Stegostoma tigrinum: one gene and its partner. Each later gene encodes a partner of the first gene's protein in a complex. Links are inferred from orthologs where the notes say so. Each region holds a gene or a part of one and is shown in the gene's direction. Other genes may lie near its edges.

Region 1 (7,531 bases):
ACACTGTAGCAAGCCTGAGACAGAGATGTTGACCAGGGTACAGGCAGGTGTGTTAAAGTGGCAGGCAACTGGAAGCCAATGGTCTTTTTTGTGGGCGGAGCGTAGATATTCTGCGGAGCAGACACCCAGTCTACACTTAATTTCCCCAGTGTAGAGGAAACCACTTTGTGAGCAGCAAATGCAGTAGACTAGATTGTATGAAGGTTTACTTGGGCCCTTGGATACTGGGGAAGGAGGAGGTAAATAGGCATGTGCTACACCTTCGGCAGACAGGAGGTGTCTGTTTCTTGGCCTCATCCAGTGTTCGTCCAGAAGGGATCAGTATTTTTTCACTTGCTGTCATTTCAGGATGTTGTGGCTAGTTATGGCTCTCCTATGTTCTGCTAACTTACTCAGCTGGAAGATAGAACTTGAGACCTCCTGCTACGAATCAGTGCAGCGTTGGTAAATTATAGGAGAGCTCCATTTTATGTTACTCTGTCCCCAGAGTGATCATACTCTAAGATCTATGTTCATGCGTGGTCTGTGGAACTGGAGCTATCTCAATTATGCAATTCACGCACAAGTCTGACAGTTGTAGAATTGTTTTTGATCAACAGGTCTGATCTTGCCATCAGCATCACAATTGTTTAAACTGTTTTTTAAAAGTGTGTCAAAAGGATAACAAATTTTAGTCTCTCTTGAATTTGTTTTTTTATTTCTTGAACACATTAAAAAAAGACATGCTTGTGTATTTGTGGTTGCAAGTCTGGCAGATCATTCCAAGCTTTATCACTCTCTGAATAAATACTTAAGATCTTTTTGATATCAGTTTTAACGAATTTTTAATTATGCCCTGCTGGCCTAATTTTTCTGGTTTGAAAGCTAGGCCCAAATTTTTCCTGCCAAATTCAGTATTGAGCTAGTATACATCCCTTGGAGATGCATGTCGGCAGCTAGGACCACAATGTTTGAGAATTTTTGTTCATAATTTTATGGAAGGCTAGGAAAATTTAACAGTTTAGCTCAACAACATGCTTCATGTCCTTCTGGATGAAGGGACGGGGGGCATTCTGGCGAAGTTTGCCGATGATACAAAGATAGGTGGACAGGCAGGTAGTACTGAGAAGGTGGGGAAGCTGCAAAAAGATATAGACAGTTTAGGAGAGTGGTCCAGGAAATGGCTGATGAAATTCAATGTGAGTAAATGTGAGGTTTTGCACTTTGGAAAAAGAATACAGGCATGGATTATTTTCTAAATGGTGAGAAAATTCATGAAGCAGAAGTACAAAGGAATCTGGGAGTGTTGGCCCAGGATTCTCTAAAGGTTAAGTTGCAGGTAGAGTCCGTGAGTAAGAAAGTGAATGTCATGTTGTCGTTTATCTCAAGAGGGTTGGAATATAAAAGCAGTGATGTGCTTCTAAGGCTTTATAAAGCCCTAGTTAGGCCCCATTTAGAATACTGTGTTCAATTTTGGGCCCCACACCACAGGAAGCACATACTAGCCCTGGAGCATGTCCAGCGGAGATTCACACGGATGATCCCCGGAATGGTAGGCTTAATGTGCAATGAACCGCTGAGGATCCTGGGATTGTATTCATTAGAGTTTAGAAGGTTGAGGGGAGATCTAATAGAAACTTACAAGATAATGTCTGGCTTAGGAAGGGTGGACGTTGGGAGGTTGTTTCTGTTAGGCGGGGAGACTAGGACCCGTGGGCACAGCCTTAGGATTAGACAGGGTAAATTTAAAACAGAAATGAGGAGACATTTCTGTGGTCAGAGAGTGGTGGGCTTGTGGAATTCATTGCCACAGAGTGCAGTGGAGGCCGGGATGTTAAATGTCTTCAAGGTAGAGATTGATAAATTCTTGCTCTCACAAGGAATTAAGGGCTACGGGGAGAGTGCAGGGAAGTGGAGTTGAAATGCCCATCAGCTATGATTAAATGGCGGAGTGGACTCGATGGGCCAAATGGCCTTACTTCCACTCCTACGACTTATGGTCTTATGGTCTTAATTGACCCATCCTTAAACCTAATTTACCATTTTACTTTAGCCAGCTCCATTTTCGTGCCTTCATAATTGTCCCGAATAAAATTTTAAAGGATAGTCTTGGGCTCACTTCTGCCTAGTATCATTCTGGTGAAAACCTTTGAAAATGCAACTGAAAAGTGAACAATTGGAAACTTAATTTCATCACTTACTTATTAAGGTGCAAGATATTGGAGACTTTTCATCTCAGACTTCACTTGCATCAGAAAACATTGTATATTATGAAAATGCTTCATTCAAGTTACAAGTAAAATGTGAAAGGAGAAATTGCAAAGTTGAGAATTTTTATAGCCTATGTGTTGCCTGTCCTTCTTTTTTCATCAGGAATATATTAGCCCAAATGAACTGAAAATCTTACAGTGTTGATTTTAAAAATGATTTGCATTCAAATAGTGCTTTTCATAGTCACCAATTACTTTACAGACAATTGAAGTACATTTGAAATGTAGTTATTATTGTCTGGTGGAATCTTGTGACTTTAATTTGTTGAAGGGTACCTGGAATCTCAAAACTTTGTTTAACTTAAACAAGGAAAACCTTACTGGTCTCCAACCAGATTGCAACATGCATTTGCTGGCTTCATTGGGTATTATAACAGGTGTTTAGTGGGGTTCTGTTGTGTGTGTAAATCTGAGCTGCACCCCACCCCCCTGCATGTAGCACAGGACCTCGCAGGTCACTGAGATTTGGTTACATTATTACCTCGGGATTTCCTTGTGTTTTTACTCTCCTCTGATATTTCTGAGCAGCACGACCAGAATTATCCAATTTGGAAAGTGAGCAGTTTCCTCTTGGAAACAGAAATCTGACCTGAATCTTGGCTTACAAAGTAATGGTAGCATAATCATCTCTCAGTCAGAGGGCTGAAGGATGAGTTCTCACTCCTGAGAGTTGATCACAAGCCTTGGTTGATACTCAAATGCTGTGCTTAGTAGGGGCTGTTTTTTGAAGTAAATGCTAAGTTGAGGCACAACATGCTCTATCAGATACATGTAAGAAATCCCACAACACTAATCATGTAAGAATAAGACGGAAAGAGTTGAGAGACTGGTTAACAATATCATGACAGCCAGGAAACAGAATTAGGCCATACCGTAAGCACTGTGTGCAGTTCTGGGTTGCCACACTAAACGAAGTGATTGCATGAGAGTTGAGTTTGCCTGGCTTGTAGTGAGTCAGCTATTAACAGAGACTAGAGCAGAGAAGTCTGAAGCGGGGGACATGGTTGATGTGTACTGAGTTATAAATGCAATATGGAGACAGAAAGGGCTGCAGGTGCTGGATGCTAGAGTCAAAAAATATGGACCTGGAAAAGCACAGCAGGTCAGAGAGCATCCGAGGTGCAGGACTCAGAATCCTAAAGGAGAGTTCTGATCCAAAATGATGAATGATGAATGATGACTTTCCTGCTCCTCGGATGCTCGCTGACCTGCTATGAAGGCAATACGATAGGGAAGATAGGAAGGAACTTTTCTCCTTGGTAAAAGGGTCAATAACCAGGGACACATTTTTAAATGTAAGAATCAGGTTTTAGGGAAGATCTGAGGAAAGATTTTGTACACAGAAGTGGTGGATATCTGGAACTCCCTGCTTAAAAGGGTGGTAAAGCAGGAACCCTCATGACATTTAAGAACTACTTCAACGAACACTTGAAATGCCATGGCAGAAAGGCTACGGGCCAAGTGCTCGAAGTTTGGATTAGAGTAGTTAGAGGCTTATAGTGTTGGAACAGACTCAAGGGACAAAGGGCTTTCTCTAAGTTGTTAAAAAAATGAGTCAGCTACAGAACTGACTTATTTCAGAGCACTGTAAGAATTTGTACATTAAAGGTGCTATATAAATGTAGTTTTCGTGATCCAAATCATCAAACTGCGATGTATTGAAAACTAAGAATGCTGAAAACCACAGCGGATCAGGCAGCACCTGGGGAGATCAAGCAAGCTTACATATCAAGTCTAGACGAACCTTCATCAGAGGTGATGTGAAGTGTGGAGGAGATAAGAGGGCTGGTGGAGAAAGGATGTTGATAGTGCAGATTAAATGATCAGAATGTGAGAATGGCCGAACAGTGGTGTGTCCAATTGCCAGACTGGAAAGAACAGAGACAGTCCTACTGGACAGGAGGGAATGGAGAGAGGACACGGTGACAGAGAGTACAACAACTAAAGGTAAAGCAAAGACAAAGTTTTCAGTTCAGACTCCACCATCTGCAGTAATTTGCGCCTAAGCTATGATGTATGTAGCTTTGGCCTCTGGATAGCGCTGTTCTGTGGGACTGTTGATGATGTTAATACTGGACGACGGTGTCGCTGGCGCCGGGCGGCGTGGGCTCGGTAGGTGGCGGTGTCGCTGGCGCCGGGCGGCGTGGGCTCGGTAGGTGGCGGTGTCGCTGGCGCCGGGCGGCGTGGGCCTGGTCGGTGGCGGTGTCGCTGGCGCCGGGCGGCGTGGGCCCGGTAGGTGGCGGTGTCGCTGGCGCCGGGCGGCGTGGGCCCGGTAGAAGTTAGTGTGCGGCCTGGTGTCGGCGTTTGCGGAGTGTTCGTCCGGTTGGTGTTTGTACTGATGGCAGCTTTCGGTGTGTGGAAGTACAGGAATTTAACGGAATTGGATCCGGAGCAGTCGGCGACACTCGGTAGCGACTCTGGGAATATTTGGATTAGTCAGGCAGCGCGGAATGGCTGGGAATGTAGATCCAAAGGCACAGCCGGGGAAACAAAACTTGCATTTGTGTAGCATCTTTCATAAGCACTTAGACTTTTCAGACCACTTTTGCCCACCGTGTACTTTTTACGGTATAATTACTGTCGTGCAGACGTGGAAAAGCGAAGCTTGGCTCATATAAGGGCAGTAGTTGAAAATCTGATACTGTGAGTGCTGGAAATCTGAAAAAAAAGTCACAGCGTTACAGATACTCTTTCATTTATTTATACTTTCGTTCTTGCATCTTTGGCATAAATATCTGGCATCTTTTAGTTGTACCAACATTTATTACCCACCCCTAATTGCCTTCAATAAAGTGGCAGAACTGCTGCGACTCCTGGGGTGTGTAGGTGCACCCACAGTCCTGCTCGGGATTTTTGACCCAGTAACAGCGATGGGATTATCACTATAGGTCTCAGTCAGGGGTCTGTGTGAAATGAAGTGGAACTTGCCGGCAGTGATATTCCCATGTACTGGCTGCCCTTGTCATTCTTGGTGGCCGAGGTCACTGGTTTGGAAGGTGCGGTTTAAAGGTCCTAGGTGAGCTGCTGTAGTGCATCTTGGAGATGGTGCACACTTCTGTGGCTGAATATTGCTGCTGGGGAGAGCTTTAAAGGTTGGATACTGGGCAAACTGCTTTGCTGTTGGTGGTGCCAGAGCTGTAGTCACCCAGGTAAGTGGGAAGTATGCTGTGGCATTCCTGACTTAGGCTTTGTAGACGGTGGACAGTCTTTAAGGAGTCAGAAAGTAAGCTTATTGCTGCAGAATTTCTAGCTTCTAATCTGATCTTGCATCCACAGTATTAAATAGCTAGTTCAGCTCAACTTCTGCCCACTGGTAAGTGCCAGGTTGTTAATAATGTGGGTCATTCCGCATTATGTAATTATCAGTGAACATCCCATTCCTGATGCTTTGATGGAAAGGAGCTCATTGAAGCAGCTGAAAATGGGTTAGGCCTAAAATGCTATCTTGAGGAATTCTTGCAGTGATGTCCTGTGGATGAGATAATTCACCAGGACGGCACAGTGGCTCAGTGGTTAGCACTGATGCCTCACAGCTCCAGGGACTTGGCTTTGAATCCAGTTTCGGGCACCAGTCTGTGTGGGTTTCCTCCCGGTGCTCGGGTTTCCTTTCACAGTCCAAAGGTGTGCAGGTTAGGTGGATTGGCAGTGCTAAATTGTCTTAGAATCCAGGAATGTGCAGACCAGGTGACTAGTCACAAGGAATGTGGGCATATGGTGGTTCTGGGTGGAAAGCTGTGCAGAGAGTTGGTGTGGACTTGATGAGCCAATGGCCGCCTTCCACCCTGTATGGATTTTATGATTAAATCTGGGCGTGCAAGTAGACCATTCAGCAAGACAATGGCTAATCTAATAATTCTCAACTCCACTTCTCTGACTGTTCTCCATAATCCTTGATTTCCTTACTGATTATGGCACAGGTGGACTTGCTGTGTTGTATCCTCAAAGCTGAAGGTTACATTGATAGCATGCTTAAGGAGGTGGCTACACCAAACGTTTATAGCATGCCAGCAGAACAGTGTGACTGCCAGTCCCTGTATAAATCCCCCACCCTCTCTCACTAACTAACTTTTTCTATTTTGGGTGGTATTGAGAGCAATCACTTCTCAGAGGAGTATGGCAGGAGCCAAGTTCATGCCATTCATGACTGGCTCAGCTGCACAGGGATTGAGGCAGAAGAGTGAAAGTTTAGTTGTGGTAGCAGATTTGATAGGTAACGGTTACAGGCAAATTCCAGATAAAATAACCATCAAAACTGCCAGATTATCATTTTGTGCTCCTAAGATGCTGCTCGGCCTGCTGTGTTCGTCCAGCTCCACACTTTGTTAGCTTTTGTACTCTTATCATTAACCCTGCTAGTTTGATGTGGTTGCTGAACAAAGATATCCCGTGGGCCACTAATGAAATTTATGACAACACTGTCCTGTTTTGCAGTTCAGTTTTCCAATGGGAAACTCACAAATTCAGAAAATGTGGAATTTCAGCTGCATAAAAATATACACAGAAATCATCCCCGGAAAAAGCATCAACTGATCTTGGTAAGGACAGGTGTTCTTCCGCAGTAAAACATTTACAACAGTTTGCTCCATAGTAAAACTGGCATGATTAAAGTTATTATATGATTTCTTTAAGCTACTTTAATAACATTGCTAGCTCATTGAAATTGTTTAACTTCATTTAAAATGATTCCTTTTTCATCCACTGTAGTCTGCTGAGACGGATAGATTGACTTACGTTGGAAATAATTTCGGACCAAGTGCTCTGAAGTGTAATTCGTTGTGCAAGTAAGTTTGTTTCTTTGAATCATTGGCAGAATTCGATTTTTAAAAAGTGCTGAAAACATGCAACAGGATTGTCAACATGTGGGAAGAAATAGGAGAGGTTGTGGCGACAATCAGACGCTCTCTTCACTTTTTGTACCTATTCACGTGTTGAATCCTGAGATTAGCTAGAACAAAATTGCCTTCCTTTCAATTTGACCAACTACAGTGTAAAGCAAGCATAATATCTATGTTAAATGTGAACAGCAGTGAGGAATTGATAAATATCATTTTTGGATAAGGTAGCTTAGACAAATGGCATTTCCCATGCCATAAAACACAAAGAGTAATCTTTTCCCAGATACAGCCACATTTTGGACAAAGAACCTACAAATCATATTTTTTCCATTCTGTGCAGTATTGGAATCCACCCAGCCGCATTGGTGGTACACAGTTTGATTGGTGCTAACCTTTGAAATGAAAGAGAAGGTATGTTCTATTGTTGAGTAGAGGCATTACATAGTA
Region 2 (7,010 bases), on another chromosome or scaffold:
GGTTCCCAGAACAAATTTGTTCGAGATCACTAAGGAGTTAGGATGTGCTACATTGTAAATGTCACAGACATAAATGTGTTTATTTACCTTTGTTTGCAAATTAAATATTAGGAGGGACTGTTGTGAATGTTGTTCCGCTAAAGCTATCCTCTGATTCAATGATGTCGATTACTCTTGTTATTGACCTGGGCACCCAACTTTCACAGCACTTGGTTCCCACTGCCCTATATTATACTTGCAACGGTGTAAGTTCTGTATTTGAAGCATATGGACATATTCAATCTCTCTGATGATTGACCCATTAATTGTCAAGGAGGTAAATTTTCATTCAAATTATTGACTGATTTATTCCAAAGAAAGATAAAATGTACAATAAACAAATCTGTTCAGAGTCACTTAATTTATCAGGCAAAACTTATGGTCACAAATGTGACAACAATGAAGAACACAGGTCACTTGGAATCGATTAGAACATAGAATGTAGAACAATACAGCACAGTACAGGCCCTTGGGCCTACGATGTTGCGCCAACCTGTTATCCTACTGTAAGATCAAAACTAACCTGCATAACCTTCATTTAACTATCATCCTTGTGCCTATCCAAGAGTCGCTTGAATGATCCTAAGGTATCTGACTGCACTACCACCGTTGGCAGCACATTCCACTCACCCACCACTCTCTGTGTGAAGAAACTACCTCTGACATCTCCACGACACCTTCCTCCAATCACTGTAAAATTATGCCCCTCCTAATAGTAATTTCCACCTTGGGAAAAAGTCTCCGGCTATCCACACTATCTATGCCTCTCATCATCTTGTACACCTCTGTCAAGTCACCTCTCATCCTTCTTCGCTCCAATGAAAAATGCCCTACTTCCTTCAATCTTTCCTTATAAGACCTGCTCTCACGTCCAAGCAGCATCCTGGTAAATCTCCCCTGCACCCTCTCTAAAGCTTTCTCATTCTTCCTATAATGAGGCGACCAGAACTGAATGGAATATTCCAAGTGTGGTCTAACCAGGGTTTTATAGAGCTGCAGCATAGCCCCGCGGCTCTTAAACTCAATTCCCCAGCCAATGAAAGCTAACACACCATACACATTCTTTACAACCCTATCAACTTGGGTGGCAACTTTGACGGATCTACGGACGTGAACCCTAAGATCCCTCTGTTCATCCACACTACCAAGAATCCTGCCATTAACCCCGTAAGAGGATTGTGTCCTCTTATTTAACTTAATAAGAATAAGTCTGCCTGTTTTGTTTCTTTGTGGTCTTGGAATAATCCCATCTTTGCTTCCCTTTAGGATCCTGGCTGCTCCAACATTTTCTCAGCATATCCTTGACAGACTGCCTTTTTGGTGTTTGGGTTCGGAGTTTTAGTACTCTCTTTCACAGATCTATCAAGACCAAAAGGGAATTTTCATATGTGATGATGTGAGATGTATTTTGAGTGCCAGATATGCTAAAGAATCTCCCTAAGAGAGAATTCAGAGAAATGACTTGTCATTTTGTGTATTAATTTACTTTTGCCTGACCAAGGATCAATAACTTCCTGTAATCATGACCTGAGAAACTAGTCTTTTTGAGATATACCTTTGCTCCAAATATGTTTTAAAGGTTTTCTCTGCCTAGGCAATAGATCAATATATAACAATGATGACCGACCCATGAGGTTAACAAGTAAGAAAATAAAATACGACTTCTAAAAAACTTGTCATGTTCCTCAAAGCAACTTTTTGAAATATATTCATCTATCTGATCTCCTAGTTTTCTTTATTCACTTATTGGGCATGGGTGACACCGGCTGGACTGGCATTTATTGCCCCTCCCTAGTTGCTCTTCAGAAGATAATAGTGAGCTGCCCTCAAGTTAGTGTAGTTACACGCACAATGCCCTTAAGGAGGGAATTGCAGGATTTTGACTCAGTGACGCTGAAGGAATAGTGATACATTTCCATGTTATGATGGTGAGTGGCTTGTAGGGAAACTTGCAGTGTCCCCATATATCTGCTGCCTTTTACTTTCTGAGTGGAAGTGATCGTAGGTTTGGAGGGTGCTGTCTAAGCAGCTTTGGTGAATTTCTGCAACGCTGCTCATAGATAGCACCCAATGAGGCTGCTGTGCATCAGTAGTGGAGGAAGTGGGTTTTGATGGATGTGGGACCAGTTAAGCAGCCTGCTTAGTCCTGAATAGTGTTAAGTATCTTGAGTATGTGAGAGCTGCACTAAGCAAGTAGGGAGTATTTCATCAGAGTCCTGACTTGTGGTTTGTGCATGCTGGACAGGCTTTGGGGTACTTTGGGAATTACAGAAAAATTTCTTCCCTCTGACTTGCTCTTCTTACTGATAGTGGGCTTAGAATGCTACCCTGTAGAACTCCCGCATGGATATCCTGGAGTTGAGATGATTGATCTCCATCAATCACAACCTACTTCCTTTGGCTAGGACTGACTCCAACTAGCAGAGTTTTCTTCTTGATTCCCATTGATGCTAGTTTTGCTAGAATTCCTAGATGTCACACTTGATTAAATGAGGCCTTGCTACCACCCTTATTGCTTGCTCCGGGTGCTGAGGGGATGATGGTATGCTGTAAAGAGCAGGAGAATGTTTTTATACATGTTTGACCTGATGCCGTGGCACCTCATGACAAACAGAATCAACGTTGAAGACTCGCACGGCATGTCCCTCCTAACTGTATACTACTGTATTGTCATATCCACTAGATCTGTCCTGCCAGTGGATCATTGTCTGTGAAGTATCATTCTGTGTGTATGATTATGTCAAGTAGTTGCTTAATGAATCTATAAAACAGCTCTCTTAATTTTGGCTTGAAAGCCCAGATGTTAGTAAGTCAGAGTTAGCTTATAGAGTTGACAGGGTTGTGTTTGCTATTGTCCTTTCCTTGGTCAATGCCAAGTGGGTGTGACCTGTTTCACTGTTTTATTACTTTCTTGTAATTGATACATCTGAATGGCTTGCTAGGCCATTTCAGATGATGGTTAAGAGTCAAGCACATTATTGTTGGTCTGGAGCCAGGCCAGGCGAGAACAATAGTTCCGTTCCTATAGGACACTAGTGAACGAGATGGGTTTTCTCAACAACTGACATTGGTTTCTGGGTCATCATTAGGCTTTTAATTCCAGATTTTTATCAAATTGGAATTCCACCATTTGCTGTGGTGGAATTCAAACTCAGAACATTACCAGGGTCTTTGGCTTACTGGTCCAGTGGCAATATCTCGAGACCATCGCCTCGTCTCAAAGTAAGGACTGAAGTATGAAGGAATGAACAGAAGAATACTTTTCTCAGGGCTGTTTCCAGGACAATTCATTCTTGCCAGTAGAGAACTATTCACAAAATTGCCTGCAGAGATGAGAAACATCAGTAACATCAGTAGATTAGACAAAGTGGAATTGTACCTTTTGGAGGAGATTGAAGTGTGATTTAACAGAATTGTTGAAAATCATGAGGTGTTTGAACAGAATAGGTAGAGAGTGAACATTAATGGGAGCATTATAGACTACAGAACACAAACTTTCGATAACTGGTAAAGGAAGCATTCAGGGGAAATGTTTTAATTCAGTTATTAGGGTCTAGAATACACTGGCTGAGACTGTGGTGGAGACAGAATCAAAGGGAATTTTATCTTCATTTTGTTAAAAGGAAAAGTAGAGGGTTAGCAGCACCTGGTGAACTACAGATGGCTCGCTAAGTAACAAAAAAAACACACTGAATGGCCTCCTTCAGCAGTGGAATCATTCCAGGTGGACAGAGAGTACGATTTTAACTCTCGACATGGATGATTTTTAAATCTATTGAGAATTCTGACAGTAAATGTGATAACCACAGTTGCATAAACTTGACCACCTACAGCTCATTCCTCTCCTACTTCCCGTACCAGTTCTGACTGGAAACCAGCACCACCTGGTGGCCGGTGAACCACTTTACGACAGCTCGGCGCCGCTTTACGGCGGCAGCAGCAGCATGGCGAGTTCTGGGCCGGAGGGCCGTGTGGTCTCAGGGGGAGGACAGCAGCTCTCTTTCAGCCAGGCCTGCTCCCTCATCAAGAGCCCGTACTCGTGCCTGGTGCTGGACACCTTCCGAAGGCACATCACCCTGTCTCCAGTCTTCCTTAAGCGGCAGAGATCCGGCATCGAGAAGCAGCTCCGGACAGAGCTACTCCGTTTCTCCGAGAGGTGAGGGGCGCGGAAACAGGCCCTTCGGCCCAGCCCGGCCGTGCCGACCCGCTTTCCCTCAACTAAACCTCCCTGCGTTTGGCCCGTTATCACTCTTAAACTTTCCCTTTTCACGCGTCTGATGTGAGGGTGGGTGCGGGGTGAGACGAGTTGGGTGAGGAGGATGTAGGAGAGGGGCAAGAGGTGGAGGAGAAGAGAGAGGGAGCACTGGGGATTTGGAAAGATTACAGAAGACGGGGGAAGACCGGAGAGGCTGAATGAGAGGGCATCAGTTTCAGAGGGTGGAGGAGGGAACTCACTTAAAAACAAAGGTTTAAACTCCAAACTCATTAGCCCATGGATTTAAAATACAGAATCAATTCTGTATTCCTATTACTCTTACAAACACATTTGAAATCCGGCTTGACCTCTGTAGACCAGAACTCCATGGATCAGCACTCCGAAGCCAGCAAAGGACCCGGTCAGATGATCCAGATTCTCTATCACTCTACCAACTCAATGTCAGAACTGGTTCGCCTTACTTCGCTTCCTTACCCCTCTTCTCTCACCCATCCCAACTGAACTTCCCAAAGCCGTAGCCCAGTTTTTGCTCACCCCAATCTCAACTCTCCCCTTCTGGCAACCTTCTCTTAAACCGAACCCCATCTCTACCCCTATTTTTGCCACTCCCTCCTCCAGTTCTCCTTGCAGAAATTATATTTGCTCAGTTACCTGTTCACCTATATGTAAGTTGATTTATGTGCATGGACACCTGATAGACCCTTTGTGTTGCAGCATTCTGCTCTTTCTTTCCATTTAAGTAGCATTTTTGTCAATGCCAAGGGCAATGAACTTAAATTCCAAAGTATTCTCTTCTATAATTTTGTTAAATTCTGTTTCCTTTTAAAAATGGATAATGTTGCCGCACTTATAAAATAGCTGAGGCTGATCAAATGACTTTCAATAAGTTTCTGAAATACCTACGTTGTATCGTATTTCCACCTAAAACTGACGCACAGTTGCTGGTCACGAGCTGATTTTGTCAAGCCAGCTGTGGACAAAAGAAGTGTCTGTCCTTGTCATGTGGCTGAAATTTGAACTAGCTAACTTGCTTAAATATATAATTCTGGGATTCTAAGTCAGTTGCATGTTGACCTTAAAGGGAGAGCAGAACTTGCAAGTTAAGTTGGCAGCTTGCATCGGATAATCATTAGCTGGAAAAATGCCGAGTCTTTGTCTGGCAGAAGGGAAGATGCTGTTGTTGAAAAACTGTTCACCCTCTCACTTGCCCTCTTTGAGACACTGAACTGCTCAACAGCCAGTGTCGCTCTGCCTGGGCTCTCTGTCCCAGGCTTCCCTAGCTGTGTAAACATTCAGCTTTAGTAGGACCATCACTGCAAGAGTAACCATAGATGTTAATGCAAATAGAACCTACGAATGTTACCCGTGCGTGTGCAGATGCACTCAAGCTTAAAAATCTGTCACCACGTCTAATGGTGCAGATGGAAGTTTTGATGGTCATCTTTGTGTTTGTGTCAATTATTCCATTTGTTGTAGTAACACTGATTTTTATTGTCATATGTACAGAAATATAATGAAAGGCTTTGCTTACCATGACCTGCCCGTCACGCTCGTAAGCAAAGGATGTACAGATCAAAACAACTTAGAGGCATACAGGTTACATTGCAAGCATCATTATTTGAGGCTAGAGTCCATTCAACAGTCTGATAATAGCAGGACAGAAGCTGCTTGTGCGTGTATTCAGGTTTCTGTATCTTCTGCCTGACAGAAGAGGTTGTAGGGGATCATTACCAGGGTGCGATGGGTCTTTGATAATATTGGTCACCCTTCTGCAGCTGTGAGCTGTGTAATTAAAGTCCATGGACGGAAGATTGGCTTCTGTGATGGTCTGGGCCATACATACAACCTTTTGTAGTTTTTTACAGTCCTGGGCAGAGCAGTTGCCATACCAGGCCGTTATGCACCTGGACAGGATGCTTTCTATGGTGCATCTGTAGAATTTAGTGAGGGTATCTAAGGACATGCTAAATTTCCTGAACTGTCTGAAGAAAAAGAGGCATTGTTGTGCCGCCTTGACTGTGGCATTTACATGTTAAGTCCAGGACAGGTTATTGTCACTCCAAGGAACTTGATGCTCTTCACTCTCCACCTCAGTTCCATTGATGTAGATGAAGGTGTGTTCTCCTTTCTTTTTGAAGTAGATGGTCAGTTCTTTAGTTATTGAATGTTAAAAGGAGGTGGTTGGACACTGTCTCGTTGGAGACTTTGGCACTTGTTGCTTATCAGCTTGAACCTGTGGAGTCCAGGTTTAACTGCATGTGAGTATAAACTCATTAGCTGAGGAATAGCAAATAAAACTGAACTTTGAGTAATCATCAGAGATTGTCCTCTCTTCTAATCATAACATTAAGGAAAGGTTATTCGTAAAACAGCTAAAGAACTTGGTCTACTGCTCTGTTGAGTTGGCTTTCAGCATCTACGATTTCCTTCCTTTTGTACTAGACTTCCAACAAATGGACAGTTTTCTCCAATTCCTATTGATGAAATTTTACTTGGGCTACTTGATGCCATGTGTCGTCAAACAGTAACTTGATAAGAAGGATATTGTTTCCTTTACCATCTTACTGTTTATCCATGTTTGGATCAACGCTGAATTGAGCTGAAGAGCCTAATGATCTCGGTGGAACCCAAATTGAGTAGATTATTGTTGACTGTGTACAATGATAGCACAGTCAATATCAGCTTCCATCACATTATGATTGAAAGTAGTTTTATGGACTGCTGATTGGCTGGGAAGTTTACCACCATGTTGGAT

The links. The genes of interacting proteins can lie anywhere in the genome.
Region 2: polr1e (region 1) and polr1f share a complex: the UniProt entries of both Homo sapiens proteins name them as parts of the RNA polymerase I (Pol I) complex. The link is inferred for Stegostoma tigrinum from reciprocal best matches to the Homo sapiens genes POLR1E and POLR1F.

The regions. Positions count from the first base shown.
Region 1 is NC_081356.1:12,667,734-12,675,264, forward strand, and holds the start of polr1e (DNA-directed RNA polymerase I subunit RPA49), read left to right. Parts: upstream 1-4,512; 5' UTR 4,513-4,587; coding exon 4,588-4,657; intron 4,658-6,680; coding exon 6,681-6,784; intron 6,785-6,953; coding exon 6,954-7,030; intron 7,031-7,531. UniProt on the Homo sapiens protein: Component of RNA polymerase I (Pol I), a DNA-dependent RNA polymerase which synthesizes ribosomal RNA precursors using the four ribonucleoside triphosphates as substrates.
Region 2 is NC_081355.1:73,093,604-73,100,613, reverse strand, and holds the start of polr1f (DNA-directed RNA polymerase I subunit RPA43), read left to right. Parts: upstream 1-3,968; 5' UTR 3,969-3,983; coding exon 3,984-4,195; intron 4,196-7,010. UniProt on the Homo sapiens protein: Component of RNA polymerase I (Pol I), a DNA-dependent RNA polymerase which synthesizes ribosomal RNA precursors using the four ribonucleoside triphosphates as substrates.